Linked DNA regions of Astyanax mexicanus. The protein of the gene in region 1 purifies or fractionates together with the protein of each later gene. This does not show direct contact. Links are inferred from orthologs where the notes say so. Each region holds a gene or a part of one and is shown in the gene's direction. Other genes may lie near its edges. The genes, in order: zc3h11a, ncbp3, ddx39b and SAP domain-containing ribonucleoprotein.

Evidence for each region.
Region 2: the proteins of zc3h11a (region 1) and ncbp3 purify together in Homo sapiens (co-immunoprecipitation; 3 studies listed by BioGRID and IntAct, with this or other methods). This does not show direct contact. The link is inferred for Astyanax mexicanus from reciprocal best matches to the Homo sapiens genes ZC3H11A and NCBP3.
Region 3: the proteins of zc3h11a (region 1) and ddx39b purify together in Homo sapiens (affinity purification with mass spectrometry; 4 studies listed by BioGRID and IntAct, with this or other methods). This does not show direct contact. The link is inferred for Astyanax mexicanus from reciprocal best matches to the Homo sapiens genes ZC3H11A and DDX39B.
Region 4: the proteins of zc3h11a (region 1) and SAP domain-containing ribonucleoprotein purify together in Homo sapiens (affinity purification with mass spectrometry; 3 studies listed by BioGRID and IntAct, counting the BioPlex papers as one, with this or other methods). This does not show direct contact. The link is inferred for Astyanax mexicanus from reciprocal best matches to the Homo sapiens genes ZC3H11A and SARNP.

The regions. Positions count from the first base shown.
Region 1 is NC_064431.1:18,519,368-18,527,606, reverse strand, and holds the start of zc3h11a (zinc finger CCCH domain-containing protein 11A), read left to right. Parts: upstream 1-4,950; 5' UTR 4,951-5,078; intron 5,079-5,654; 5' UTR 5,655-5,697; exon of another isoform or gene 5,698-7,399; 5' UTR 7,400-7,705; intron 7,706-8,239. UniProt on the Homo sapiens protein: Through its association with TREX complex components, may participate in the export and post-transcriptional coordination of selected mRNA transcripts, including those required to maintain the metabolic processes in embryonic cells.
Region 2 is NC_064424.1:10,356,185-10,363,440, forward strand, and holds the start of ncbp3 (nuclear cap-binding protein subunit 3), read left to right. Parts: upstream 1-3,933; 5' UTR 3,934-4,109; coding exon 4,110-4,292; intron 4,293-6,476; coding exon 6,477-6,542; intron 6,543-6,627; coding exon 6,628-6,733; intron 6,734-7,256. UniProt on the Homo sapiens protein: Associates with NCBP1/CBP80 to form an alternative cap-binding complex (CBC) which plays a key role in mRNA export. NCBP3 serves as adapter protein linking the capped RNAs (m7GpppG-capped RNA) to NCBP1/CBP80.
Region 3 is NC_064410.1:37,555,916-37,563,220, forward strand, and holds the start of ddx39b (DEAD (Asp-Glu-Ala-Asp) box polypeptide 39B), read left to right. Parts: upstream 1-4,152; 5' UTR 4,153-4,242; intron 4,243-6,861; 5' UTR 6,862-6,862; coding exon 6,863-7,097; intron 7,098-7,305. Other genes in the region: polr1h (DNA-directed RNA polymerase I subunit RPA12), read right to left, coding at 1,374-1,398, 1,679-1,788, 1,936-2,039, 2,647-2,764. UniProt on the Homo sapiens protein: Involved in nuclear export of spliced and unspliced mRNA. Component of the TREX complex which is thought to couple mRNA transcription, processing and nuclear export, and specifically associates with spliced mRNA and not with unspliced pre-mRNA.
Region 4 is NC_064431.1:13,306,392-13,314,550, forward strand, and holds the start of SAP domain-containing ribonucleoprotein, read left to right. Parts: upstream 1-5,155; 5' UTR 5,156-5,236; intron 5,237-5,982; exon of another isoform or gene 5,983-6,016; intron 6,017-6,305; 5' UTR 6,306-6,399; coding exon 6,400-6,432; intron 6,433-8,049; coding exon 8,050-8,149; intron 8,150-8,159. Other genes in the region: cdk2 (cyclin-dependent kinase 2), read left to right, coding at 192-362, 559-660, 848-1,051, 1,927-2,031. UniProt on the Homo sapiens protein: Binds both single-stranded and double-stranded DNA with higher affinity for the single-stranded form. Specifically binds to scaffold/matrix attachment region DNA. Also binds single-stranded RNA. Enhances RNA unwinding activity of DDX39A.

The DNA.
Region 1 (8,239 bases):
ATCTCCGATGCCAGCACGCCCAGTGTCTCTCCCTGCTGTCGGCGTCTGTCCGCCACTAGCATTTTGGCGGCCGCCTCCGACGGTTGGCGGCTGAAACGTGTTCTCAGCGCCCGCGTCAGTTCAGGCAGCTCGCAGCGGCACTCGGCGGGGAGCTCGATCAGTACCCTCAGCGCGTCGCCCTGCAGCGCCAGGCAGAGGTTGGCTGTCGTCTCGGCGTCCGTCCAGCCCGCACCGCCCGCCACGATCTCAAGCTGAGCTTCGAAGGCTGTCCAGTCAGCGCTGCCGTCGTAGGGGGTAAGGCGGGGTTGAGCCGTCAAGCCCGCCATCCCGGAGGCTTGCGCCGCCATCATCGCGCCGTCCGTTCCGCGAGTCGGCGCCGCGTCGTCCTCTCCCCGGCCACGACCTCCGAACAGCCCGCTGGCGCCGTCAGGTCCGAGTCCACTCCGCTGGAGAGCCTTGCCTCTAGTCCGTTGGTCCGCTGTCTTCCTCCTCAGCCATTCGATTTCCCCTGCCAGCAGCTCAATATCTTCTAGCAGGGTCACTTCTGACACCAAATGTGGCGTGGAAGAGGAAGGAAGACCCGTGAGACTCATGCTGAATGCTCAACAGCTCCTTTATTGAACAGGCTTGCCACTCGCTTACAGTCTTTAACAAGACTAGGAGAGCTAAAACCACCACTAAAGGCCACCAACCCAGCTGTGTGCCTCCCAGATGGCAGATCCAGAGTGGTGCCCACCCTCTCTGCATAACCCCTCCCAAGGGAGATGCCCCACCCCTGTCATCCTCGCACACAGGAGAACAGAAACATGCCTCAGGCAGCCACACACACAACCCAGAGCCGCCACAATATCATATTACAATAATTATTAATATTGCCTCCCCCATGATCTGCTTTCTCTCACTCACTGAAAAAAATTCTGTCCGGGAGGGGGGAAAACCCTGCCCGCCCACACTAAAAAATGGTTGGCTGTCTCACAGACTCTTTGCAGAGAACAGGCCAATCAGAACCCTCTCTGTTTTCTCTCTCTCTTTCCCACACGCGATTACAGAAAAAAAGTTTGGGGCACTCCTTCTGAATTCCGGGAGATTATATGTGACTCGCGGGCATCAAGGAGCCACTACCGAAATGTGGGAGACTCCCGCAGCTTCAGGGAGACTTGGTTTGTCTGCAGCCGGTATGTTTACAGGGTTTCACAACAGTGGCAATACTACTAACTTGAGATCTTATTTAATGCACAACCATCCAGCTGAATATTGAATATAAAAATAGTTCCCGCAGAGAGATCCTGCCTTAAGCTCCACACGATAAACATGCTGATGTTTCTTGCTCAGAATTTGTCTGACAGTTACATTAAAAAATACATTTATAGCAAGAGCTCTGGCCTTTTTTTTTATTTATGGGTGTACTTTATTTGTTGTAGTTATTTAAGATATTAAAATATTTTTATATTGGGAGCCCAATGTCTGCTCTTAATAATATAAAGTTAGTTTAACTGTAAAATTGTGTAATAGTATTGTGCTATTATATTATTAGTGTGGCACATTGTCTTAAAGCTCCTTTTTTAGCCAGAGGCAGGAAAAAGCATTTTCTATAGTGGTGCTTTAAAATGACAATATTATCGTTTATCGCAATAATTTCTGGGACAATATATCGTCCTGAAAATGTTGTTATCGTGACTGGCCTAACTGTATATGACTCCAGACAGTGTTTAATTTACTCTACAAAGGTAAAGCTAGTGGTAGAGTTATTTCAACTCCCCAACTCATTTCATCCAAAATATTATATGATGAGTTTCTTTGATGCTACAATCTAAAAACCTCTGGAATATAATCAAGAGGAAGATGGATGATCACAGGCCATCAATCCAAGCTGAACTGTTTGGCATAAAGGTTTCCAAAAGCAGTGTGTTAGACTGATGGAGGAGAATATGCCAAGATGCATTAAAAACTGTGATTAAAAACCAGGGTTTATACCACCAAATACTGATTTCTGAACTTTATACTTATACTTAAAACTTTATAATATGAACTTTTTTTTTTGTTGCATTATTTGAGGTCTAAAAGCTTTTTTGTTGTTTCAGCCATTTCTCATTTTCTGCAAATAAATGTTTTAAATGAGAATATTTTTATTTGGTATTTGGGAGAAATGTTGTCTGTAGTTTATAAAATAAATCAACAGTGTTCATTTTACTCAAATATATACCTATAAATAGCAAAATCAGGGAAACTGATTTGGTCTGTATATTTCAACTTTTGAACCCTCTGTAACATCTTTTTAATCTTTATCTGTATTAAATAAAACAGCACAACTACTATACATTCTTATCAACATAACTTGCTGAGACCCACAGGGTTCTATCATAGGCTCAGTCTGAAACAGAAAATTATAATAATTAAGGTGAAGAACTAAAGGGTTGGCCCATGTACAGAGTTTAAAGAGTTAACAGTTTGAATAGCAGTTCTTTACAGCTCTGTAAACACAGTCAGTAAGTGTGCAGTATGATCAAGGTACAATTGAGCGAGGCTTTGAAGATTAATACTGCTAATTTCAAAGGTCTCTGTAGATCATAAATCTGTGCAATAAATATAGAGGACAATAAATAATCAGATTTCCAAGATCCCAAGCCTTTCAACAAAGAAAACACTCTTATTTGGGTTCCTCCTGTTTTAGTTTGGTGGAGGATTGGGCGGGGAAGAACGATAGTACTTCGACTCATGAATATTTAATATGCAAACGTATGTCCTTTGATTGGTTAACAGAACTGTGACGGACACACCCTCAATGGCTCTGCAGTGGCCTTCGCAAACAAGTTAAGCGAGGCCGTGAATATAACAATATACAATATACTGGTAGAAGTTATGCTGCCTCAAAGTCCTCCTCAGAAATTTCTACTTATAAGGTTAAAGTGATAAAACATGATATATGTACTGTATATATTACTGTAGGAGCAGGATCCATGCTTGTTACTGACACGCCCCCTAATGTGAAACTCGTGGCTTAAACTGATGTATGGTAAATATTGAATTTACCAGATGAGAGCACATGGACGCCACCACAAACTCTTATTTTTAGATAAAACTCAGAGTTTCCCAGTTGAGGGTGTGTCAGTAACAAAAGGTCAATAGATTACAGTAACTTTATTTAAATTGATAAATAAATTAAATAAAATGATGCAAACAGTTCGTATTGTAGAACACTCGCAGATTGTTATAAGCCAATGTATAAAATCACTAGAATTAGGTGAAAAAACGTAAGAGTCTAATTAAAACATCGCTTAAATAATGTGTGTCTTATTCTCTTCATTCTTTTGGAGTAGGGCAAAATAAACCTCCTATTTTTTTTTATAATAATAGACCAAAACTATCAATTATAGAGCTAAATTAGTGCCAAAACTACGCAAATAAAGAAAACGTATTCTGTAAATATGATACTACTTGCAAACACACGACACGTTTTACAAATACAAAACTCGACTATCTAACACACACAGTGTGTTTTACAAACACAAAACCTGATGGTTGTAAATATATACGTACACTTCAAAAAGTCCACAACTGTTTTCTAATACATTGCTCTTAACAAACAAATATAACATGTTTTACTAATGCAAAAAGCAATAAATAACAAGTAAAACATGATTTTTAAACATTACCGTGTCATGATTCACGAACACGCACAGCTAATTTGTAAATCCATTTTCACTCGAACAAAAACGCTCAAACACATGTCAAGTCGTAATTACCACCTGCAAACCCTTAAGTAGGAATTTAGGAGCCGCCGGTGTCGTGGCGTTCATGTGCTCTCATCTCGTAAATACAATATTTTTGACACCACTTGAAAGCAGCATCAGTCAGGGAGGTTTTCATTGTTCACTGTTTTTCTGTCTGTATTTTATATTGGCTAATGCAGGCAATGATGAGAGTGATGGAGTGACCTGCTGTAGTTCAAACAGACCAAATACTTTTTTTTACATGTTTATGTAAAAAACTATCAATAAAATGATTGTTTATAAATACCTACAATAAAAAGTATATGTCACTATTTATTTACATTTTTTACTAAAACTGTAACCTCAGAGCAACAATATACAGATTTGTCATGGGAATAATGCAAATAAAGCAGCAGTGGTTATTATTTTACTCCAAAAATATAATATAATTCATGCCATAGAGCAGGGGTGTCCAAACTACGGCCTGCGGGCCATTTGCGGCCTGTTTCCTTTTTTGGAGCGGCCCGCGAGGTATTTCAGAAATAGAATGAAAGTTTGCCCGCTGTTAAGCAGGTTTTTATAATGTGAGATTCAAAGCTTGAACGCTAGGTGTCAGAAATGGGCCAAAGAGTCTAAAAGCGGAGAGAGTGCGCATTTCTAGCGCAGAAAAACGGGGCAAAATAGTCTAAAAGTGGAGGAATGCGCATTTCTAGCGATGAAAAACGGGTCAAAGAGTCTAAAAGCGGAGAGGGTGCGCATTTCTAGCGCAGAAAAACAGGGCAAAATAGTCTAAAAGTGGAGGAATGCGCATTTCTAGGGCACAAAAACGGAGCAAAGAGTCTAAAAGCGGAGAGGGTGCGCATTTCTAGCGCAGAAAATCGGGCCAAAGAGTCTAAAAGTTGCCGTAATTAAGGAGTTTAATATTAAGAGACATCATGAAATTAAACATCAATTTGAAAAATCTTAGTTTACACAACACTGTCAAAGATAAAGATAGTAAGTCAAGTAAAATGGTGTGTAAATGAAATAATCAGGAAAAAAAGTATTATTTAAAGTGGTATATTTCATTATTTGTTTTATTACAGAGTGTGGCCCGTAACTTCAAATATATTTCTCCTTCTGGCCCCCAACAAAAATAGTTTGTAAACCCCTGCCATAGAGGGTTAAAATATAAAAAAATAATCCAGCCGAAACATGAACGTTTATTCAAAGTTCTTTGCTGTCAGAGGAACGTCACCGGCGGGGGCGGGGCTATCAGCGCGAAGGCGCAGTCGCCATTTTGTCCGTTTAGTGAAGCTGGCTGGGAGAACCGTCGACCGGGGGACTTAGGAACAAATCAAGTTTTTAACAGTCAAAACCTTAAAACGGGTAATTTTTAACTCTTTATTTATATCGTGTATATCTGAAAGCTGAATATATACATTAAATACGAACAGGCGAGCTCGCGGTTTTCTGCTGGTGTTGAGTTAACTAGCTTAGCTGTTAACTTAGCTATAACAGTTACTGCTATCTGCTGATACTAAGAACATTTGGTAAAACTGCAGAAAAATATCGGGTATTTTTCCGCAGACGGCTCGGTTTATATAGTAAATGCTGAGTGTGGACGGTAGACAACTAATTTAGCTAAGTTAACTAAGCGACTTCTGTTACGTTGTTAGCGTTAGCTAAGTTAGCTTAGCTTTGTTAGAGTTAGCAAGGTTAGCTTACAGAGCTAAACACCACAGGCCCCAGTCTTAACGTTACATAAAGCGCTGAAAGTACAGTTTAGCTAAGTTAGCTTAGCTGTTTATCTGCCTAGTAAACTAGTTACTGTAAATGCTGATACATGTGTGTTGAATTGTAACGTTATTAATGTTGTTAGCTTAGTAAATTATAGTTATTATTGTAGAACTCAGAAAGGTTAACTAGCTAACTATGTAACATCTAAACCGCTTTGTTTTCCAGTAGAAACCGTGAAGTTGAATTTCGCATTCGCCCTGTAATCCTGGTTGGTAAAAAACGCTTTCCTGATCATTTTGTTTTGTTCATTCTCTTGTAACTTAGTTTTATCTCTGTTTTGTTAAACCATACGTGTGTATATTATTTACTAAAGAACATCACTTTGATAACTTGCTGTAGTACACTGCTCAAAAACGTTATGGGAACACTTAAATATCACAATATGACAGTACCACAGTTAGGAAATGTAACCAATCATCAATGTTCACCTGCTTTAGTACAAATTAATTTGCTGAAATGTGCAGCGGGGAGACAACAGCAGCAAAAGAGCCCCCAAAAAATACTGTCTAATCTGAATCCTTCCTGATTGATAATTTTCTAGTCTTGCTCTTTTCTAGTATGTCAGTACTGGTAGCATGAGTCATTACCTGCACCACTTTCAGTTTGCATAGGTAGTTAGTCCAGCTCTTGCAGGATGTTACATTCAAACCTGCTGTCTGTCGCAAAGAGGTTTGCTGTGTCTTCCAGCACATTCCCAAGAGCAAGAAGGAAGATACAAATAGACATGCAGTTACACGAGGAGAGCTGGACCAGTATCTGCTTTTAAGAGCATGAAGGAGCACTGGCAGAGCACTACAAAGTGACCTCCAGTGGGTTGCTGGTGTGCATGGTTCTGATCAAAATGTCAGAAACTGGGTCCATGAGAGCCCAATGCGTGCCTAGCACCATACAGCTCGATTGGCATTCGCCAAAGAACACCATATTTGACACTGAGCACATGTGCAGATATGAACGAGATTAGAATAGTGAACCCATTACACTTTACTGAGTAGTGTATGAGTGTCATTTGTTCCTTAACGAATGGCACAATTTATATCGGTAACAGTTTTCACTTTGTGATTTAAGTGTTCCCTTAATTTCTTTAAACAGTGTAGTTAATCAAAGTGGGAGCAGGCCAGCTGACAAATCTCTACATTGTTGTTGGGGCAAATTGTTAGGGTTGTTAGTCGTAGGTGATTGGGGTGCAATTGTTTCACATTTTGTTAATTTTTAAAGCATTTTATCTGATTACAATTTGTGGATATTCCTTATTTGTGCAGTGTGCTTTGCACATAAAAAAAAACATTGATTGCTATTTGCAAATCTAACCAAAAATTGATCGACAAGGTGAAAAAGTTTCAGGATACCCGTTTATATAATTTTGTATATTATAATTATATTATAAAACACTGTCCTGTGACTTTTGACCCTGTGTTATGAAAAGCTGAAATTCTGAAACCCTATAAACCTTTGTCCCCACCAAATGATAGGTTAGTTTATTTATCATGTGCATTTTTTGTGTCCTCATAGCAAATGTTTGACATTTTAATGTTTTTGTGCATTTCTCAGTCATACCCACTTTCACCAGCCTGTGGGAAGTGTTTTTCTTCTTCTTTTTAAATGTAGGTTGTTCATGAAGAAGTTGTTCAATCCGGAAGTAGCTGGATTTGGATACAGGCTGACTTTGCCTAAAGGCTTCCCCTGAAGATTGCCCTTTTTTTAAATATCACATCCACATTTTTTCCCCCCAACATTGGGCGTTTTTTTGTCATCCCGAATTTTGCCACAATTTCAAATTCTACCTCAGTTAAATTTTCTCACTTTCTCACACACCAAATTATCACCCTGTGTTTGAAGATAGAGGATTTCTGCCCCCTCCCCACTCACCTTCAAGATTTTTGTTCCCATTCTCCTTGGCTCTCGACATCTAGCTTGAAGATATTTGTGCCCTCAAACCCATTCTCCGCTTTCAGAAGTCTTTATTGAGGAAAAAAAAGAAAAAAAAAAAAAAAAAAAAAACACAATCACAAAATGGACTTTTCACCTTTTCACCACTGATCACTTTTTACAAAGCAGTCTATGGAGAGCAGGTCTCTTACAGAAGGAAACCTAGGCCACAAGTAGCCTGTCTCTCGCCCTGTTCAATCTTTACTCATCGGTCAAGTGTTCCTTCAGGATCCAAACAGCTTGGAGCCAGCCCTGAAGAAGTGCACCTGGAAACGACGTGTCCACGGCAGGTGATTGGACCCACAATGTTAAAAATATGCATTTCTATGGGAACTTTTAAGGGTTCTTCAAGAAGAAACTGTGGAGGAACCCCTTAATATGCTTGACAGAACCTTTAAGAAAAAAATGCTCAGTGAAGCACCTTAGGCTTTCTTGAAGGTTCCCCAAAGCATTTCAGAGGTTTCTTTCACAGTTTTAAATTGAAGTATTTCCTTTACATTTAAAAGAGACTACCTAGCAAGGATTGTTGTGATATTGGCTTGTCATGATAATTCTATTTTTGTATGGACAATAAATAGAAATACACTGTTAATGTGCTCTTCTTGCTAAGAAAAACAAAATGGGCTTCATGAAGGTCAGAAAAAATGGCCGTGTACTAGTCTGTATGTTGTACAAGAAGTTGAAAACAAGCTTACCCTTGACAGGCGTATCTCTTCCCCTTATTTCAAAACAAATTCAGATAAAATGAATAAAGTTGACATTACCAGACCTCCTGGATAAGTTAAATGTTGAGGGTGCATTCAGATATTGTGTGATAAGTTGAT
Region 2 (7,256 bases), on another chromosome or scaffold:
TGAGTCTGTTTTTTCACATTAACACAGAAAGCGATAAATGGGGTCTATGAGAATGTTGTTTAATTTTAGTTTCAGTACTGTGCACACTTTTAGGCACCTGTACAAATTATTAAAAATTTAAAAGCTCCTGATCTGGGCAATAAGAGTTTATTTACCCAATAAATTAATACTAGAATTAATACAATGAACAATAATCAATACAGACACCATCCAAAAGAGAAACAACAGGTGCGCAAAATGAAGAGTCTATGGCATCAGTGCGTCTCTATGAGTGCTAAGTTAATTATTCAGCTATTATTCATAATGCAGAAACTATGTGGAGATGCACAGGTTTATATTATAGGGACTTTAAATCTGATGTTATAATAAATAATAATAATAAATAATAATAGTTATAAGAGTGAAAAACTGAAGTGTGGGCTTACAATACAGGGTCTAGTAGCATTATAAATTTTAAGGTAATGTTAAAAATTACCAGTGAAAACTCAATAGACTTAATTAATATTTTAGTACACATAGAAAATGAAAATGTCTACACCTTTTAAAATCATATTTACAAAATTCTCCCACTGTGTGCTTCAACTCTCTCCAACACTGTTACAACTAGTGAGACTGTATTAATTTCTGTTTTAATTTTAATGTTTTAATTGGCGGTAACTTTAGGAAGGGGCTTTACTCTTACAGCTTTAAATCAGGTGAGCTTGAACTGAAATCTAAAACCAAATTGATTTAAAAAATGTTATAAATGTGTTATAATGTGAAAAATTCTTATTGCTGAGATTAAAAACCTCATTTTGTGGCTAAAACGTCGAGGGAAGACATTTCTTGACCATGTTAAACCACCAAACTTTCCAATCTAAAGGTTTCCAGCCAATGTCTTTCATCCATCAACTCAAACAACTACAGTGAAATTGGGTTTAAAGCTATTAGTTATTCAGCTATTAGACATTTTCCAGCATTTGCACAAAGTGGTTCTAAAGAGATTAACTTTACTCAGTTAATACTCCACCAACTACAGACCTTCTTATACCACTCATAGTATTTATTCTAGTTTCACAAGTGCTGTATTCGATGCACAAAACAAACTTGAGCACAGTATTTGTTTATATCAAGTCAAATAAAAGCAGAAATGCCATAACTTACTTAAGATTAGCTGTTTTTGGATAGTGTCTTTTTACAGGCTGATGAATCATAAATATGTTTTACTGTTTGCCGCTTGTTTGGCCTCAAGTCGTCACTATGAATTGACCAAATCTGCTAATCATACCTGTCAAGTTTTGGACTTAAAAATAAGGGAAATTTTCCGTCACCTGCTTCGAGTCGCCCACCAACCCAACCGAGGTTCAGAATCCCTTATATTTTAAGACAGGTTTACAATAAATCTAAATAACCACCTGGGAACATTTTACAAACTACAATTAGATTATCAAAATCTGACAGGTCTATCTTTGTTGACACTGAAATGTTGTGGACATTCCTACATATGTAATTCTTATAATACTGCCTAAGTTAAACCCTTTTCTAGACATTTACATGAAATCATCAGCTTTTACAAAAATGACATGGACCAGATATATTGCATAAGTAAATATTAGTCCAAAGGGGCCTAAACAATTAATAATTTAATTAATACTTCTTTCTATTGATCAGTCCAGTCCTGTCAGTCAGTTAATTTCAGCCCTCTTCACATTTTCTCTCTCCAGATCAACCATCTCTTTTGCCCCTTCTAAATATTAAATTACACCACAATACTCTTAAACTAGCCCTGAACTAATAAAATAAATACAGTTTCGTTCATTATAGCTTACAGTAGGCCTGCAAACCTAAATTAATAAACACAGTTTGAAAATGAAATAGTTATTGGCTGATCAGGGCAGGTTGAACATCTAATTGTAAAGTTAAGCTAACTGAGTCACAAGCTGTATTTTCTTAAGCACACAGTCGGTTTGATCCGACTGTTTCAGAAACAACGTCATCATAGTTTACATGTTTAGCTCCGTTACCTCGCTGTATATCCAGATATGCTTTAACGTCAGCTGCTCCGACTAGCTCTCACAGCGAGGGGGGCGGGGCTTTCCTACATTGCGCTCCGCGAAACCAGGAACCTGATTGGCTGTTTCACCTGAAAGGCGGGACTTTCTCCTTGAACCGGCACTACCATTGGTTAAGAGACACACAGTGACCAGTGCCCTGTCGCCTCATTAGTAAAGTTTTTTTTTATATATAATACGGGAAATTTACTGGAAAATACTAATACGGGAGGACGGCGGGAAAGAGGAGTAAAATACGGTAGTTTCCCGGCCAAAACTTGACAGGTATGCTGCTAATACAACCATGTCTGATGTTTTTACCCAAGAATGCCTTGTTGCAGCTCATTAAAACACCTACCTTCATCCACAGACATGACATTCCAGAAGCTGCACAACTCTTCACATCGTCTGTAAAATCCACATGGCTGGATCTCGTCAGCCTTTCTGCAAATGCAGCGCAACAGACCAAGAGTTTCAGTACCACTTGCATTTTTATTGGCTGTACTGTGTATGTTAATTCATTATTCCATGACTGACCTTGCTGTACAAATGTAGGATGATCTCACCTGTATGTATATGTATTGTGTAAATTTGTTAATGCAGGATTAGAAAATCAGAATATGGCCAAACAGAATTTAAAATCGCACATGTTTATAAACAGCTCTAATGTGTGACACTGTTTTAGAAAGAAAATGAATGTCTGTATATTCTCTGGGAAAGATGTATAGAGAAATATTTTGGTTTCTTGTGGTCTAAATGATTCCTCAGATGTTTTAATTTATTTCACTATGATTGTTCTGCTATATGTTTAAATGTATCTTTATGACTGCTGATTTTTCCAGAATAAAAATTGTATTTTGCATATGTTTTTTCATCTTTGTTTCCCATAAAGTGTTCTTATACAGTACACTTGAATGAATGCATGTCCACAACTTATTAAAGTGTGAAAACAAGATCTTGACTTGTGGCCATAACTTAGTAAGGCGTGGGAACAAGATCTTAATGCATGGCCACAACTTAGTAAAGCATGGTAATGAGATCATATGTCATGGCCACAACTTCTTAAAGCATGAAAACAAGATCCTTTAGCATGGCCACTACTTTTTAATGCATGGTAACAAGATTCTAAATTGTGCCCACAACTTATTAAAGCGAAAAAACAAGATCCTAAATTGTGGCCACATCTTTTTAAAGTGTGGGAATAAGATCTGTATAAATGGTCATGACTTATTAAGGCGTGGAATCTAGATCCTTATGCATAGACACAACTTGTTAAAGCATGGAAACGAGATCCAGTTCATGGCCACAACTTACTGAAGCATAGAAATGAGATCCTAAATTGTGGCCAGAACTTAATAAAGCATGGGAACAAGATCCTAATATATATATATATATATATATATATATATATATATATATATATATATATATATATATATATATATATTTACATTTTGTCACTTCAGGGGCCCCATACAGTACTCATGTAAATAGGGCAGGTTATAATAACATTATATGTTAAACATAATTATTATATTATTATTATTATTATTATTATTATTATTATTATTATTATTATTATTATTATTATATTATTATTTGTATACCTTGATAGCTATTGTAGAGGCTACACTATGCTAATGACCACAGAAGATCCTAATGCATGCCCACGACTTAAAATTAAAGCGTTGGAACGACTTATATGGCCAGGACATAATTATCTCGTTCCCACACCTTAATAAGTGATTGTCACGCATTGCTATTTTTTTTAATATTATTATTATTTTCTTTTACATAATGTCAGTTTAGAGGTTCTGTACCGTACTACTGTGGAGAGGGCGGGTTATAATAATCTGCTACGTTTTCTCTCTCTTTCTCTCTGTCTAACAAGTGGTCTCTCCATCTGGCTGCTACAGTAGAGTGCTGGCGCGCTAGAAGCCTGTGGTGCCCGAGCCTGCGCTCTGTGTCCGCTATAGCAGCGTTAGTTAGCTCGCTAGCTTAGCTCGCTGGGTTTTACTCCGCTGTGTTCAATGAGACAGACGTTAGCGCGGAGCTCCCGTTGTTAGCTAGCTGGATGTCATGGCGGCTGTTCGCAGTCTGCGGGTGTCCGTGAAACCCGAAAGCGCCTCGGACCGCTCGGACTCGGATTCAGACTCCGACTCGGATCGAAATGCCAGAGAAGCGGAGCCCATGGAAGTGGAGGAAGGCGAGGTCGAGTTCGAGTCTATCCCCGTCCGCCGAAGTTTGAAGGAACTGCTACCGGTGAGTTTAGCTAGGCCTCAGTTAGACCGCGGTGTGTCCTGCTGAAGGAGGCCGATGGATGTCGCAGCTCGGCCGCTACGGGAACTGGAGGATAAGCGTTCTTAGCTAGCTAGCTAACCAACACTACACAGACACGTCTACTGTCATATAACATAGCTAACTAGCCTAGCTTAGCTTACTGGGTCTCATGCGTTACGCAGCTTGACAGTGTTAGCTACATTTCCATCCGTAAATGAGGGATTTTATTATGTTGTTTAACAAGCTTAGGCGGCGCTCTGTAGCTAACCTAGTTAGCTAACTAACACGCTATGAATTACCTAGCTATAATAACGTGTTGTAACGTTAGCTCAAGTCCCAAGTTTTGATGCTAATGCTTGTAATGCTATGTAGCCCTGCTAGCTAGTAGAGGTGGGTAACCCAGGTCGGGAAAGTAAAAATCCAGCCCAGTGTTTTGAACCAACCGCCTCGTCTGCTCTGCGGTTGGTTCAGGCAGTTTGATACAAAATCCTGGGGTGGAATTTTACTTTCTAGACCTAGGTTACTCACCTATGCTAACTAGCTATCGTTAGTCATGTTCAGTTGTTGATTATGAAAGATGCTTAACAGAAAACTAGGAATTAAATAATCTATATTTTAAAGCCTTCGTTTGCCGTTTTCGTTATTAAGCAGTTTTATTTCATAATGTTCTAGTGAGTTATTATATTGTGTGTTGTCAGTTTTACATAGTTAGCTTGGTCTAAGCTAGTTACCTGGCTACTAGCTCGCCAGATGGCTAACTTCTCTTTCTTGTGTTTCTGAGGGTTTGGGTTCTTTTATAATATTATAGTATTTAACTTATTCTTTTTCCTTTCTTGCCTTATAATAAACATTTATTTCACTCATTGAAGTATTAAAGTATTAAGGATTTTATATTAAAAGTTTTAGATCAGTTAAGTTAGTGCTGTAGCATCATATGGCAAGCTGTTTTAGTCAATAAATACACCAGTGATATCCAGGGTAAAAGTAAATGAATGGTAACGTTACTGGACAGATGTAATCTGTCTCTAGTAGATTATGGAAAATGAGAAGAGTGAGAAATTTTCCTTTGCTAAAAACAGCAAAAAAGTAGTACCCTCATGTAATAATTAGGGTGGGTAATATGGCACGATATTTCAGGGTATAATATCGTTCACAATATAAAAAAATGTTGACGATATTATTGCGTACGATATGATATGGCACAACCCTAATGCTAAGTCATAATGTGAAATACTACCCCAGACTTAGTACCTCAAAATAATGACTTGGCATTTCATAAAATAATGACTTAACATCTAATAATTATTAGTTAGTGGAGGCCCTTACTTTTTCCAAGAGGCAGAAATAGGCTTGCAAAGATATCGGCTATGAAATGTTGTAATGATGTCAGATCTAAAGATTAATAAAAAAGGACTGGACGATATTACCAAAATTTATATCATATTTTTAGTTTCGGTCGATGCAATATAATTCCTATACAGTTACAATAAAAGCCTCTTGACTTGCCTTCGGTATCAATATGAACAGCATAAAACCCACCACCTGTGATGTATGTGATCATGCACTGACAGAGTTGGGAGAAATAGTAAAATATTATATCACTTCATCAAAAATGGTGCATCACTCCATCTGTAGCAAAACAAGCATGACATTTTTATTCAGTTTTTTTCTGCACATCACAAAATGAAACATTTAAACTTTGCAATAAAAAGTGCAGCTTGGTCAGTGCTTTTATGCATTAGTTTTTGTATATGCATATTAAAGCATGTTGTCTATGATAAGAAAGTGTATCATTGTACAATCAAATATCAATATATTGCCCAGCTCATAATAAAGAGATTTTAGCCAGCTATATTTATACAGTGACACATTCTTAATGTACTTTTACCCAATCATATGTTACCTTAGATTTACATGGAATCTCTCATACTTCCTTCTGTAATTACATTCATACTAGTAAAGTGCAATTAGAGGTATTAGTAATTACGTTTTGTAATAGTAGTTGTGATTGCAGATGTCTCCACTGTGATTCTGCTATAGTTTTAAATATCAGTAATCTTATTATTAGTAAAAATCATTTGATAGTGACTGTTATACAGATAGGAAACATTACCTGTATAGTTCAAAAATCTGGCTATGTTGTTTACTATTTTGTGCTTTCCTCAGGACACAAGCAGACGATATGAAAACAAGGCTGGCACATTTATCACTGGGATTGATGTAACGTCCAAGGTAAGGGTCTTCTGTTTCCATTGTGACATTAAAAAGCTCTCTTAATATTGCTTGTCATTTATTTTCTTGAACTTTATTTGTTTAGGAGGCAATTGAGAAGAAGGAAAAAAGAGCAAGGAGATTCCACTTTCGTGCAGAGGACAATCTTGCTCAGAGAAATGTTGTTCTGGACAGAGATCTGATGAAAAAAGGTAAGTACTCCACTTGAGCTAAGCTGAAATTGAATGGCATTAGTGTTTGTGTAGGCGTAATGATGAAAGACCATTTGTCCTATGTGATGTGAAAATTCAGTGACCTGTTCTTCAATAGAAAAGCATTTTTAAATGGCACGGCTATTTATGAGCCTTGGTTCAACATTCCTGATGCCAAGTATTGGCTAGATGGATTTTAAACCCCCAGCTTTGTAGTGTGGAGCAGAGGAACTGTGTCTTCTTAAGACATGGAGCTCCATCCATCACCTATGAAATGAGTAACTTTAAAAATAAAACTAACCATCCAACATCAGTATTTGACCTCACTTATGCTCTGGGAGCTGATTAAAGTTATTAGTCAGTTAGTTCCCAGTGAGATTCCTAATTCAGAGGAAGTGTTATCTATGATGATGCTTAAACTCTGTTAGTAAAACAACCCATAGTGTATCCGTAAAGGTTTTCCAGAGAGACTAGAACTTGTTTTTGCAACAAAGAAAAAATTGACGTTTTTGTTATTGATGCT
Region 3 (7,305 bases), on another chromosome or scaffold:
TTAGCATGCTGCTATTGTGCTGCTGCTGTACAGAAAGCCATGTTGGCGTGATCACGTGACGCACACGAACCGGACTCTTCTGATTGGCTGATTCACAGCTGAACCGGCCATGACCAAAAGAGCATTATCTTAATTTCTATAAATGTTATTATTTCCAAATAACGATTTAAAAATTTTAAAATCCTACATATAAGTATTACATTTATTTTGCACTTTATGTTTCCCTAAAGCCAACAGTTCTACGCTTCTTTTTATGAACATTTGTTCTTTCTTTCTAAATTCATAACTATATACATTCGGCTCTAGAAAAAACGATAAGAGGTGACTTCAGTTTCTGAATCAGTTTTTTCTATTTATAGGTATATGTTTGAGTAAAATGAACACTGTTGTTTTATTCTACAGACAACATTCCTTCCAAATTCCAAAATAAAATATGACAATTATTAAAGCATTTATTTGCAGAAAATGAAAAATGGCTGAAATAACAGAAAAGAGCTTTCAGACCTCAATAATGCATAGAAAACAAGTTCATATTCATAAGGTTTTAAGAGTTCAGAAATCAATATTTGGTGGATTAACCTTGTTTTTTAATCACAGTTTTCATGCATCTTGGCATGTTCTCTACTACCAGTCTTACACACAGCTTTTGGATAACCAAAATTCAATCAGTTCAGACCGCCTAAGTGGTCTATTATTTGTTTCCAGAGCTGCATTTTTATGTATATACGTTTTTACTATGCGTTTTGGGACTGGTATGTGTAAGCAAGTTAGGTTCCAGTTGACTGCCCTTTACTGAACTCGTTTAAAAAGGAGTCATGTATGAAACACTCTATGAATGTGTATGAATGAAAAAAACTGTATGAATTTGAAAAGGTAAGGCTTAGCTGATGTAGCCAGAAAATACAATAACTATAAATGAAAAGAAAAACACAATACTTTCGAAATATACTAAAAACAAAAAGAACACAACAGCCCATCTCACATTTGCCAAAAAACATCTTGATTATCCCCATCACAGCAACCTTAAAGTGTAGTTAATTAAGGATTCTGCTGCTTTCTTTGATATTTAACTTGCCCTCATACTTATTCTAACTTAAAATCAAAACACTGAACACAAGACTGCTATTACTACAAATGTCTACTGCAGATATAGACAGAAATAACAAGGTAAAAAGAAAGACATATGCTTGTGCTTCTCACATTTTTTATATTACATTTTTTATTCATTTCTTTTTGATACAAAACATTTTGAATGTACAGCAAAAATGTCCAAGTCCTTGTGGCGTCTTTTTCCATTACATCTTGTGCAGACACAATATTGGATTCACGTTGTTGATCAATGATCAAATACAAGTCGGACAACACCAAACATCTCATGAATCTTCCTTCTCTTGGTGCCTGTAATGTAAACATTGAAATAAAAAAGAAATTAGCTTCTGTAGATTTCTGTGATTTCTTATAGATTGTGGCAGAAAAACTGTATGTTGTCTTGTTCATGTAAGTGGAATGACAAATTGAAACTTAAACACAGATGTTCTTGCCTCTCTCATTTTCACTCTGCCTTGATTTGTGGAAAAAGAATCAATATAAACCTTACTCTGTTCAGAGCACCCCTGCACCTCAGAGAAATCAATGCATTTAGCAGTATGAGTTATTAATGGAGTCACTCTGACATTACCTGCAGTGAATACACGTGAAAAACACCGTTTGGCCTTCATCTGCTGATCTCATTTGCCTTGTGTGGTATACCATTCCTTCTTTATTGCAGCGTGAACACCTTCTGTCCACCTGGTGAAGAATTTGCATAGAAGAAGATAACAATTATAAATGCTCACATTCCCTAATGTTTTTTGTCCACTGTTCACTCTTTAAACAACTGTTGCAGGGCAAAGATTATTTAACAAAATTTTTTAGTGTTAAATTTAGGCAACTTACCACAGGGCCTTTTAGTTCAGAATCCTCCTCACTCTCCACAGTAGTAGAACTCTGCACCAACGGATTAAATACTACAGATGACTTGATAACCTGCCCAGCAAAACCTGAGGAGAAAAAAAAGTTGACTTAAACATTGTCCTGGCTGTAGGTAAAAATCCCCCTGTATATTTCTCAGATTGTCTACTTAATTACAAACTCCTTCCTTGTCCATTCTTTCTCCAAACACGCTATGAGGGTACACCTACCACATAACTCTGAGCAGACGTTAATTGGATCTGGATGGTGATGACATGTTCAAATTAATGCCACTGCTAGGTAGTAGCTCTGCCACTACAAAATAACAAGAACAGTCCATCAACAGATGGGCTATGGTCTTTTATTGTACACCAGCAAGGTGGAACGTCAAATCAGCTTGATCAAAAATCCAGTTGCAGACCAGCTTTTACTGGTGTCTGGCTTTAGATGATCTATGCTGATATTTGATGATCAAAATTGTTGACAAGCCAGTTATCTAGTCAAAAACATACTGGTAAGGTTGGCCAGGTTGATCATGTTTGTTGACCAGCTGAAACATCAAACAAAACATACTATATGCTGATCAACAAGCTGATTTAAGCTGGCCATGCTGGCCGGTTTCCCCCAACATGAAGGTTTTTCTAATAGTGGCCACTAAGTATATCTAAATATCTTTAGGCCAAAATGAAATCTCACCACTGGCAGGAATGTCGAATGAGCACCGAGGACATGTAATGGTATTCTGAATTCCAGGGACTGGTAGAATATTACCACATTCAGGACAGAAGTTTATATCTCCTTGGAAGCAAGACATGGTCCTACATCAAGAGTGGAAATAAATGCACATCATCAAACATTAAATTAAAATACTAATTTGTAAAGTTATACATGACAATCCTACTTCATGATAATTATTAATATGTTCACATCAGCATTACTAAAACAAATACACACAAACTTATGTACCAGTAAGTAACTTTACATAAAACCATATTTAACTAATTAGCTGTAAACACACATTTGTGACTATAACACTATATACATTTCTACATTCTGTATATACATTTTATCCACTTACAATTACTTTGAGCATATGCGATGAGGCATAACAGGATATTAATTCATGCATTATTGTGACTATATGTTTTCTTGAACCATAAACACTATAACGTTACAATTACTTGCTATAGTAAACTCCGGAAGTATACAGACATAAGGAAAAATGGTTAAAATCTGTCTATGGTACACCTCCAGCGAAGTCCAACTGAGATAGGTCAGTGTATGTTTAAAAACAGTTCTGTTTACACTAGTTAAACATTTAAAAAATGGATTTTTACTTTCTGGAACTGGACTAACGTTACCCACCTCTGTGTAACTATAGTTTACATAGGATCTCCAGTGGATTTTGTGTTTTACAGAAACTCTGAGACTAGAGTAACAACACATGTTTCTCCCTCCCACTCCTCCACCGGACTAAAGCCGCTAAATACTAAAACAACAGATTTTTTTATTTTTTTTATTCATACTGAAGACCACAACCAGAAATAAAATAAAATAAATGAAAAAACGATGGCATGAAACCTTTAATATAGCAAACTATATGACAACTGTATGCAACAGCTGGATTTTTTTTTACGTGGAAGGAAAGTTCCAGTTAAATTTTAATAACTTGTATTATCATTGGTTTATTGTAAAAAGAAAAGAAGAAAAAGAAAAAAAGAATGAAAATGTAGATAATAAAACAATTTTAAAACACACAAGTGATCCAAATGTGTGACTTATGCTAACTAAAGTAATTAATCCAAGTTGAGAAGAAAAGAAGTTAGCACCCATGCTAACCACGACAAGACGAAAACTTCAGTTCCACCTTAAAAGACTCAGCAGTTATAGTCTCGTGCCTCAACGGCTGCCCGTGTAAATACAGCACGATTTAAGGTGGAACGAATATTTCGCTTAAGAAGCCAACTTTAGCTATCAACTACACCTAAACACGTGTTTACCAACACAACTAAACCCGACATTCTGCGGTTTCCACCCACTTAACTTACCGTCTAAACAAGCTCTTAAATCCAGTAGTGTCGCTAAAGCCGAGCTGGAAAGCGGAGGAGTTGAGCGACAGATCCCTGAGAGCAGAAGCCGGCCTGCGGAGCTGAGCTCAGGCGGAGCGGAGGACAGCTCTAGCTGCTGGTGGGAGGGAGGCCCTTCGTCTCAGAGCAAATGACGTGCAGGGGAGCAGCAGCAGCGAGCAGGTGAAATAAAAACACACCGCGGAGTGTCTCACAGTTAATCCAGGTAAATGAGGGTTTATATCTGATAAAATGCGGTTAAACACATGCAGCGCTGGCTGTGTTGTTCTGTGCACCAGTCTGTAGTGCAGCAGCGCGTGTGAGCTGCTCTGTAAACACATGCTGCTGCAGATATATACACAGCAGCCCTGTGCAGCTGATATACTGAAACCTGCAAACTTCATCCATTCATTACAATCATTTTTATAATTAATATGGTCATATCCGTCAGCTGTGGGTATTATATTTAATGTTGCCCATCAAGGCTGTGCAGTATTGATTATATATGTATTGATTATATTTTCATATAAAATTGCTATGGTACAATATTATTACTGCTTTTTTAAATAGCAAAACACGTTGGTTGTTGCCATATGTGCCTAATGCCTTCTCCCGTATACGAGCTACAGGTGCAGGTGATACAAAACCCTTTTTTCTGCAGTAAAATAACTTAATTACATTCTGAAAATTTGAGGGCTTTAAAGTCTCATACAGGACACTTGGAGAAGCTATAAAAAAATAATATTAACTAATTTATATTCAGTTTCAGATGTTTTTTTATATTTTTATGTAAAAATTTTATATTTTTTTTTATTTGGTTTGGGATTGTGACTAGTGATGACATTAGCAATTGAGATTTTACCAAATATTTACTAAATCTAATTTACAGATAATTAATCATATGATCTTCTTTTTTATCTTTCTAAATAGTAGGGACGAAGCGATGTGAAAATTCTGGGCCGATGTCTATATCCGATATACACATTTATAATAAAAAATTCTGGAATACAATAAATATGTAAGTAAGTATTGGTTTAAAATAATAGCCATATTTCCATATCATTGCTGAATATTCTAAAAAAATAATAGTATTGGCCGATATCATTGTGCATCACTTAGGGGTGGGCAATATGTCTATAAAATAATATCACGATATTTCAGGGTAGTTTTGCGGTAACTATATACTTGGCGATGTAGGAAAACTAAAATAATTAATTAATTTCAGGAATATAGTATAAGAGTATAACAGCATAATCATAATGTGGCAAAATAAATAATATAGCATAAAATAATATAATGCAGCAAAAATATTGCAGAATATTTAGTGCATGCATATAAACTGCAAACTAAAACAATTATACAATAAATACACCTAAAGCTTCACAGTAAATAATAGACTACTTTTAAGACAGAACAGCCCTATTATCACGATATGGATTTTTTAATATCACGATATTTCTGTGTCACGATATATTGTATACGATATAATATTGCCCACCCCTAGCATCCCTACTAAATAGTTAATACAGGTTAAACAGAACCTTAGTATCTTAGCATACAATACAGAGTCTCTAAAATGTCAATACTTTACTGTAAAAGCTACAAATTGATGGCAAAATAGCTTTTAAGGAATATGTGCATATTAGGCTTGTCTTAAACTGTAATAAAGAATATGATATCTGCAAATATTGATCCTTTAATTAAGTAAATATCAACACATTTAAATGCCTAATCATAATACAATTCGAGAAATACTCATTTTGTGTATCATAAAATAATATTTATATTTAACAATTTGAACACAGTTATGTTGATACTTACAGAATAATGTTTCTTTACAAAATCTTCTTATTGCTTGGGCAATATAATATTGTATGACTTCCCTTCATGTTTAGATTTTGCAGTGCAGATGTTTACTTACATCAGTTTTACTGTTCGTGCCTTTTTGAGCAGCTATATATCAGTATCCTAATATAGTATCAGTCAGTATTTTATCAGAGCATAAGCGCAGCAATTTGATTCTGATACATCAGCTCACAGGTGCCTTGTGCTGATCAAGTCAAGTCAAGTCAAGTCAAGGCTTTTATTGTCATTACATCTGAGTACAGGTACACAGTTTAATAAAATTACGTTCCTCCGGAACCATGGTGCAACATAGAACAACAAGCAATAGACAACATAAAGTGCAGGAGTGACGACAGATAAAATTATAACACTAAATAATAATAAATACAATAAATACAAAAGACGAGACAATTTAAAGACAGGACAGTGCAGTACCGATACGGTATAATAGAGTGTTTAGTGAGGATAAGGTGCAGAGATGTGTAACATACTGTAACATATAGAACATATATAATCACAGCAGTTACTGAGGTAGATAGTTTATAGTTTTTTAGAGTGCAGCAAATATTGCTGAAAGGAATAAAGTCATGTCAGTCTCTGTGATCAGGGGAAAAGAGCGCCATCTACCCACCTAGAGAGTGCAAAGCCAGTTGTGCTCTCTCGGGGCTCTGGCAGCAGATGGCAAGCTGCATGTCCTGGATTCAAACCAGCAATCTCCTGATCATAGTTGCAGCACTTAGCTTGCTGTACCACTCAGCTCCCGAATCAACATTTACATATGTTGAAACAATGTTGATTGCCAGAATTTATTTATGTGTAAACTTTGATTCAAACATTGATTCAAAATTATGATTTTATATTTATTGTTTGTATTAAACTTGACTTAAATTAAATATGTATATTATGTTTGTATTCTATTCATATATCCGTATACCGTTCTTTGCTCTCAGGGTAATGATCTACAGGCTAAATGTTTAATTAGTGTTTTCCCCTTTTTCAGAATGACTGAGAACGACGTGGAGAACGAGCTGTTAGACTATGAGGAGGATGAAGTAGATGCAGCAGGTGGCGTCGGGGATGGAACGCTTGCCGGTGACAGTGGTGCCATGACCATAAGAAAGGAGGGGGTCAAAGGCTCTTATGTGTCCATCCACTCCTCAGGGTTCAGGGACTTTCTTCTGAAGCCTGAGCTTCTGAGGGCCATAGTGGACTGTGGCTTTGAGCATCCGTCTGAAGGTGAGCAGAATGAAGGAAATCTTTAGCCAAAGTGAGAAGAGTAGAATTCCACCTGCTGTGCAAATTCAAGTCCAAAGAAACAACAAAACACAAGCAAGGCAGACTGGTCTTGAGGGAAATAGTGACGTACTGAAGAGTTTGTTTACAGCTGTGCATCTGTCCAGATGGTTTTCTCTAGCACACAGTGTTACCTAATTAAGACTCTCAG
Region 4 (8,159 bases), about 5.2 Mb from region 1:
CTTTCAAACATTTTGTAATAGTAGAAAATGTTGCAGTACAAAACTGTTTCAGCTAAATCATTACCATCTACACAAACCATTACACTCTGGTACACCTGTACAGTATATATGTTGGTCTTTTTTGTACCCTGTTATTTGTGGATGTTTTTAACTGTGTGTGTATATCTATCTGTCCATCCATCCATCCTCAGAGCTACCTGTTCCAGCTGCTGCAGGGTTTGGCTTTCTGTCACTCTCATCGGGTCCTGCATCGAGACCTTAAACCTCAGAATCTTCTCATTAACGCACAGGGAGAAATCAAACTTGCTGATTTCGGGCTGGCCAGGGCTTTCGGCGTGCCAGTACGCACCTATACCCATGAGGTGAGAGAGGAGCCTTATTTGGCTTGTGCTCATCACTGTATGGTGTGTGTCTGCATGGTTTATTGACCCACCGTACAACAGTGGCTATTTAGCGTATTCCGAAATGCCTAGTTTTTCATTAAAAAAAAAAGAAAAAAGAAGAATAATCATAGTTTCTGTTGCTAATTAGACATATTTGAACGGTTTTGTTTTCCAGGTCGTGACTTTGTGGTACAGAGCCCCAGAGATTCTGCTGGGCTGTAAATATTACTCCACAGCTGTTGACATCTGGAGTTTGGGATGCATATTTGCTGAAATGGTAAGAGGTGGTTGGTAGTGTTCACTGTTACAAGACAATCAAGCAATTTTTGCATTAAAAATATGCAATGTAATTGTTTTTTTGTTTTTTTTAAATAAATATGTATTTTAAGATTTCTAACAACAAATCATAGGCTTGTAGATACTTAACCTAAATTGTATGTTTTTTTTCTTGTTAATTTTCTCAGATTACACGAAGGGCTTTGTTTCCAGGAGATTCTGAAATCGATCAGCTTTTCCGGATTTTCCGTACGCTGGGCACACCTGACGAGACGGTCTGGCCTGGAGTGACCTCGATGCCAGACTACAAGCCATCCTTCCCGAAGTGGGCTCTACAAGACCTGGCTAAAGTAGTGCCTCCTTTAGACGAGGATGGAAGAGACCTGCTTGGGGTGAGAGTCCTATCTGCTTTATATTATACTGCCTAATCCTCTGGATTATGCACATTTTAGTATCGAGTTGTCAAATGTGTAAAAAAGAAAGGAAAAAAGGCTAATTTTGTGTGAACATGATTATTTTAAATAGACGCTTATCATAATAAAATAATAAATATGTAAGGCCACAAAGTGGTCCAGCAGGCTAATCACTGACACTATAATCGGGAGATCTCAGATTTAAATCCTGTCAGCACAAGACGTCTGTGAGCTGATGTATCTGAACAGAGTTGCTGCTTTTTCCTCGGAACGTGCTGTGATGCTACTTGGCAATGCTACATCAACAGGAGTTTGAAAAGAGGCGGCGGCTGATTCACATGTTTCATAGGAGGGCATGTGCTAGTCTTTACCCTCCTGGTGTTGGGGCATTAATAGTGATGGGGAGCTGAATAGGTTGGACAATAGGCCTGGCTAAATTGTGGAAAAAAAATGAAAGTTAGAAGTAAATCATAGAAAAAAAAAGTTTTTTTTAATGAGTGAATGATCTGTTCAAAATTAAGGGCCTAAAACATTCTAAATAAAATACATATTTTCCTGAAACACCACCACAGATTAGAGATTCTATTAAATTCAACAAAAACCTAATCTTGAGCCATCTTCATTACATAATTTAACAATTTTAATATTTGAAGGTCTGTAAGGGGATCATTGCAAAGTGTAACCTTTTATTTGGTCCACACTGGTGTTTTATCTTTTGATGAATTGTTTCTACATTTTTCATTTAAGGAGATTTTGTGCACATTAAGAGTGTGTAGGCTGGGGAGCAGTGTTATCTGTGCTGTTCTGGTGTGTAAAGCTTAATGATTTATTTTTACTTTTTCCTCTCCTCACAGCAAATGCTGAACTATGACCCCAACAAGAGAATTTCAGCCAAAAATGCACTCGTCCATCGATTCTTCCGCGACGTCACCATGCCCATGCCCCCTCTGAGGCTGTAAGACATGCAGAGCAGGAAATACACAGACTGACACTGACGGGCTGCAGCGGATCCAAACTAGAACCTTACCTTTTCCTGAAGAATTTCTCCTGTAGCTCAGAGACTGTTCGCCAGTTCTATTCTCACAGATTCTGGAAGCCTTTTAAAAAGAGAAAAACAGTTCAGCCAAAGTTGAGATTCTAAGATTCTGTGGAAAATGTTCTTAATGACATGAGCAGTTTGTTTTGTTTTTTTACCAGCGTATAAGAGTCCATCAGCTCAGGGCTCATATTTTGTACTGTGCAGATGAGACTTCCTCTCCAAATGACATTCCATAATTTGGTGAACTGTGGATTCAGGAATTTGTCTGATTGTTTAACAACAATCTCTTCACTTATGCACCAGCTTCATTCAGAGAAATATTTATTTTGGATGGCTAAAAACCTTTCAATTTCAAGTTCAGGATATTTTTGTAATCTGTGATTTTAAGCCTGTTGAGGCGTTTTATTAATGTTTGCTAATTATACATAAACTTGTTTAAAAAAGTGCTGTTTTATTCGTGTTTATCTTGTTCACCAGCTTGGTTAAGGAATGTACTGACAGTGGGATAAAGGATATTGCAGTTGTTATAAAAAAAATCTACTATAACTGTACAATAACCCTTATTTTTAAAAATTATTGTTAATCATTTTGCTGAAGGACAGGCAGAATTCAGCCTAGCACCTGGAAAGTGAACTGAAACCTTTCTACAGCAGTTCCTGTGTGTGATCTTTGGCATTGGTTGCTATATTTTAGCATCAACTTTGGGTCAATTAGATAACCTTTTAAAGCTGCAGTGCTTGGTTTACATTAATCTCTGATCTATGTTTCAAATTAGATGCAAAGTCTAATTACCACCGTTGTAGTATGACGTTGCATCTATTAGTCAACAGAACACAAAGATAAATTGATTGTTTCTGTAACAAGTCTCTCTTTTTTCTAATATTGGAACTAATGGGTTTAGCAAACAGTTTCTACCAAATATTGCTGAAAAGAAATAAAAAATACACTTTCAAGCTTGAAAAACAAAAACTTCATTAACCACCATATTAAATCCAGAGCATTGTAATAAATACCAAGTGAGCAAGCACTGCATCTGTATCAGCTAGAATACATTTTATACATATCGGGACATGGAAAGTTTAGTTCTTGCTGTAACTAGTTTTGGTTTAAGTTCTTTGGTGTGCAGCACCATTGCATTTCCTGAAGAACTGTAAAAAAAAAATTCTACAACCAGGATTGATTACTGCCAGACCTGTAGAATCAAGACATCACTTAAATAGAACTTGTCTGACAACATAGTGCAGATAAAATATCTCAAAAAGCAATACATTATGCAACAATCATCAAAAACAGTCATTGACGGAATAGGTTTCTAAGTCATTTTTACAGCTTTGGGACTCCAGTGGACCAGACAGAGAGCTATTATTCACAAATGAAAACATGGAACATTGGTGAACCTTCCCAGTAGTGGCTGACCAACGAAAATTATACCAACATGGCATGGACAACTCATCCAGGAGGTCACAAAAGAACCCAGAAAAGCATTTACAGATCTGCAGTCACATTTACCAGGACTTTTTGGAAGGTGTGTGTCCTGTTACGTCTGGCGCAAAACATAATGCATAATTTTAGAAAAATAACATTATACTTAATGTAAAACATGGTGGTGGTAAACAGCAGCAATCATTACCATACAGATGAGGGTCACTATTATAATTTATCATTCAAAACCCTGCTAAAAAATACAGCTCAAGACTCCAGCTGGTCATCCAGAAAAAAAAAACATTCCCTGTGCTAGGATTGCCACCCATTCTGTAAAATATGGAATCGCCCTTTATTTGGCAAAAAATATCTTCAGTAGTTCCATAAATGTCAACACTGCAGACATGTAAGAACACAGAAGAGTCGTGTTATGACTGATTTCATATCTAGTTGTGCTTCTGGCTGAAGATGTCGTGAATTAGGCATAACTTATTTTGTTTTACTGTTGTGGTAAATTAAGAAACCAGTTCAGTTTCTGAATCAGTTTCTCTGATTTAGCTATTTATAGGTTCATGTTTGAGTAAAATTAACATTGTTGTTTTATTCTATAAAATATGGACAAAGTTTCTCCGAAATTCCAAATAAAAGCATTGTCATTTAGAGCATTTATTTGCAGAAAATGAGAAATGGCTAAAATAACAAAAAAGATGCAAATCTTTCAGACCTTAAATAAAGCAAGAAAACAAGTTTATATTCATAAAGTTTTACGAGTTTAGAATTCAATATTTGGTGGAATAACCCTGTTTTTTATCACAGTTTTCATGCATTTTGGCATGTTCTCCTCCACCGGTCTTACACACTGCTTTTGGATAACTTTACACCACTCCTAGTGCAAAAATTCAAGCAGTTCAGCTTGGTTTGATGGCTTCTGATCGTCCATCTTCCTTTTAATTATATTCCAGAGGCTTTCAATTTGGTAAAATTAAAGAAACTCATCATTTTTAATGGTCTCTGTTTTGTGTGTGTGTGTATGTATACATATATACAGTTTATTTAGTTTATATTTTAAAAGTTCTTTATTGCACCCTACACACAAACAGATTATTAAAGACTGAATAAACTGTACTTTTTTTGGAGAATGTATTCACTGCTTTCTTGATCGTCCCTTTACTGTAAACACCAGCACTAAATAAAACATACCCCTGCTGCAGGCACCACACCCCACAGGAGTCACCCAGTGGGGGTCATGGATCAGAGGAGCCGTGGTATGGAAGTAAAACAGTGTCACCAGATTTTGAAATTTAAAAGCACTTGAATTTTTAGCACTGAATTATTTTACATTGAATTATTGCATGTGATTTTTTTGCCTCTGAATTAAACACTTTAGTTTTTCAGTATATCATTTTCACTTATTTTATTTTAATGTAAAAAAATTCAAAAGCAAAAATTCAAGTTTTAAAAATTCAATTAAAATAAATTCAGGTTGCTCAAATTCGACCTGTCAAATTCGACTGCTAAAATACAACGCTCAAAATTCGCTGTCAACATCCGGGACACACAGGATGAGCAATCGATTCAGTCTTCAATCGAGCCAACAACCAGCCAATCACATCACGCTCCGAAGATCACGTGACAGGTAGCGCCTCACGGCCCAGAGCCGCTCAACGCGAGTCACAGCCCCCACCGCTGCTGCTGTGGAGAAGGTGAGTTTAAAACAGCTTAAAACAGGGCATTTACCTCACCACTGTGGCCATGTAATATCACTTAAACGGTGTAGAAATCCTCACTTTAACCACGGTTTGCTCTGTGGTTTGTAAAAATATTAAATTAAGATAGATATCCAGATATACCTTTTTAAACTAAATAAATAAATAAATAAATAAAGCTCCTCTGTTCATTTCAGAAAGCACTTCAAACACGAACACTAGATCAATTATTTATAAATACAGACAGACTGTGTGGAAGATAATTACTACTGTAGAATCTGAGATAGTAACTTAGTTAGCTTAATTATAGCTACCTATCTTGCAAGTTAGCTGTGGGACTGTGCGATTATAGACAAGATACTACCTAGTTAGTGGTTTGTTTAGCAATACCTTATTTACACTTTGCTGCAAAGTATGTTGCTTAGTGTACTGGCCACTGTCTAAATAAATATATTTAGCTATATTACACTTACTATACCCCTCTCAGGCTTGTCCTCTCATATCAAAATGTGGTTGGGAGTTCTAAGACAAATTTTGAGACAAAGTGGTGAAATAAAGTGTAAGTAGTTAGCTGAATTGGTAATATTTGTGTGAAATAAGCCTTTGAATCTGTGATATTATATTAAGGAGTAGTAAGTCATTATTTTCGCTAGGTGGCAGTGTCGCGAAAACATAGGGTTCTAGAACTGCGGTCCTGAAACTGCAGGGTCCTAAAACTGCAGTCTCCGTAATTTCCTGAGGACAGAAATGGCACCTACTTGGTGGAGTGGCCCATATGTATGGAGCTATGAAAGAACAGTACAGAATATATAGTGGGCATCCATCATTTTATTTCTGATTTTTAATTTATAATGGTCATGAGCTAGATGTTTTAGATGGGGCCTGTTGTAAATTGTTTTGTTATTGTGTTATTTATTATGCCCAGTCCACAGAAATAGTATTATTGAAAGTAATCTTTATGTTCATTTATATTTGTAATAATTTCATGTGTATTATTATAAGCCGTATAACCAGTTTATTGTCAGTAAAATCGTTGGTCTGATTTAAATAAACCCCTCTCCTGTAGTTGAAGTGAATCAGTCTGAGGGCGGCGCTGCAGCACTGACCGCGCTCTGAGCCACAGAAGAGGGGAGAAGCCTGTAGTGGAGAAGGAGCTAAAAATGGCTGAAGTCGTAGAACTCCAGAAACTGAAGGTAATAAACTAATTTATTCGAGTTAAACGAGAATTTCGTGCTTATATGGATAAATAGAACCGGTTTTTAATCTGATTTATTAGAGAAGTGAAGGGTATAGCGCTCAGTCCACCTTTAGAAAGCTAGTCAACTAGCTAGCTTAGCTTAGCTAGCTAACGTTAGCTTAGCGTTCAGGCTACACCTCACTGCATGTTTACAGAGCTGTTTAATTTAGTGTATGTTATTTTGTTAGCTGTTCTACATACTGCAAATAAAATATTGAGGAGTTTAAAAGTGGATAAAAAAAACAGACCTAGGTTTACCTTATTCGTCGCTTCTGGGCTGTACTTTAAACATTTGTTAAAAATTTAAGTTCCACCTTAAATTGTATCTAAACTAACTGGTGCTAGCTAGTTTAGCTACAATGTGTAAGTTGGTTTTATATGCTTAAAGTAGTTGAAAATCTGAGAATATAGAGATAAACACACTCTTTACTGGTTAATCAGCTCTTAACCAGCTAAAAAATATCATGGCTAGCTCAAGCGAGTCAGGCTGGTTAAACTGGTTGACCAGTTTTGGTCAGTAGATTAAAAGGTTTGTGTTTTTGTTGGTCTACAAGCTAAACAGCCAGTATAACCAACTTGGGGTTTATTTACAGTGGTAAATTGAACCCATTACTATGAATATGCTTCCTTTTAAGTCATATAGTGGACCTACACGTGTTTAATAGCTCTTGCTGTTTGTTAACTACATAATTATGGTAATTCTAGAAACATCTAAGCCTTCTGTTGGTACTGTCTTTCTCTTTTCACAGCCAGTTTTTTTAAAACAGTGTTTTAAAAAATCACACCTTCTCATTCAAATATTTTCTTCATTTATTTCTTTCTTTCTACATTGTAGATTAATATTAAATACATAAAAATCCTCCACAGTCCCCTTATCTAAACCATGAAATTGAGAGCAACTTTTGTCAAGATACTGAGAAAACTATTCCAGGTGACTCTCCCTCATGAAAAAACAATAGTGTGTAGATCTGTCCTCAAAGCTAAATGTGCTACTTAATTCCTATCCGAATGGGATTAGTTTCTTAGGGGGACGTCTGTGAAAAATACTTCACACTTGTACTCGTGATAAAACTCTTGCATCCGGTCTGCAATTAAAACAATAGGTGAGTTTTTTTGGCTTTCTTGGTCAAGTGTGTGTTTAGTAGCTTCTCCATTTCCACTTTTTCTTTTGTTTACGTAGATCTCCATTGAAACGCGCACCCAAAGTGAAATTAAGCAATAAAATCACAGAGGCCCCCATTAAAAGAGAAAATCCCCCCAGAAACCCCCTGAGAAACTAATACTGTCCGGATAGGGCTTTAGATGAGTCTATCGTAAAAACTTATTCTATTTTGTTCAACACATTTTGTATGCCAAATAATTCCACATGTGTTCCTGTATAACTTTACTATCTTTTTAATATTGAATTTACAATGTAAAAAAACTCAAAGATAAATCACGTTGAATGAGAAGAAACCATTTGAATTAAATTAAAACTGAAATCATAATGCTGAAAACTAGCTTTAGTGTTCACATATCTTGATGTACCTTTTATAATCTCTATAATTTATTCTTGTTTTTTTTTTTTAAACAGTTGGCTGAGCTGAAGCAGGAGTGTTCTCTAAGGGGTCTTGACATAAAAGGAAATAAAGGTGATCTGATTGCTCGGTTGCAGCAGTATCTGGAGGAGCATGGTAGGTTTTT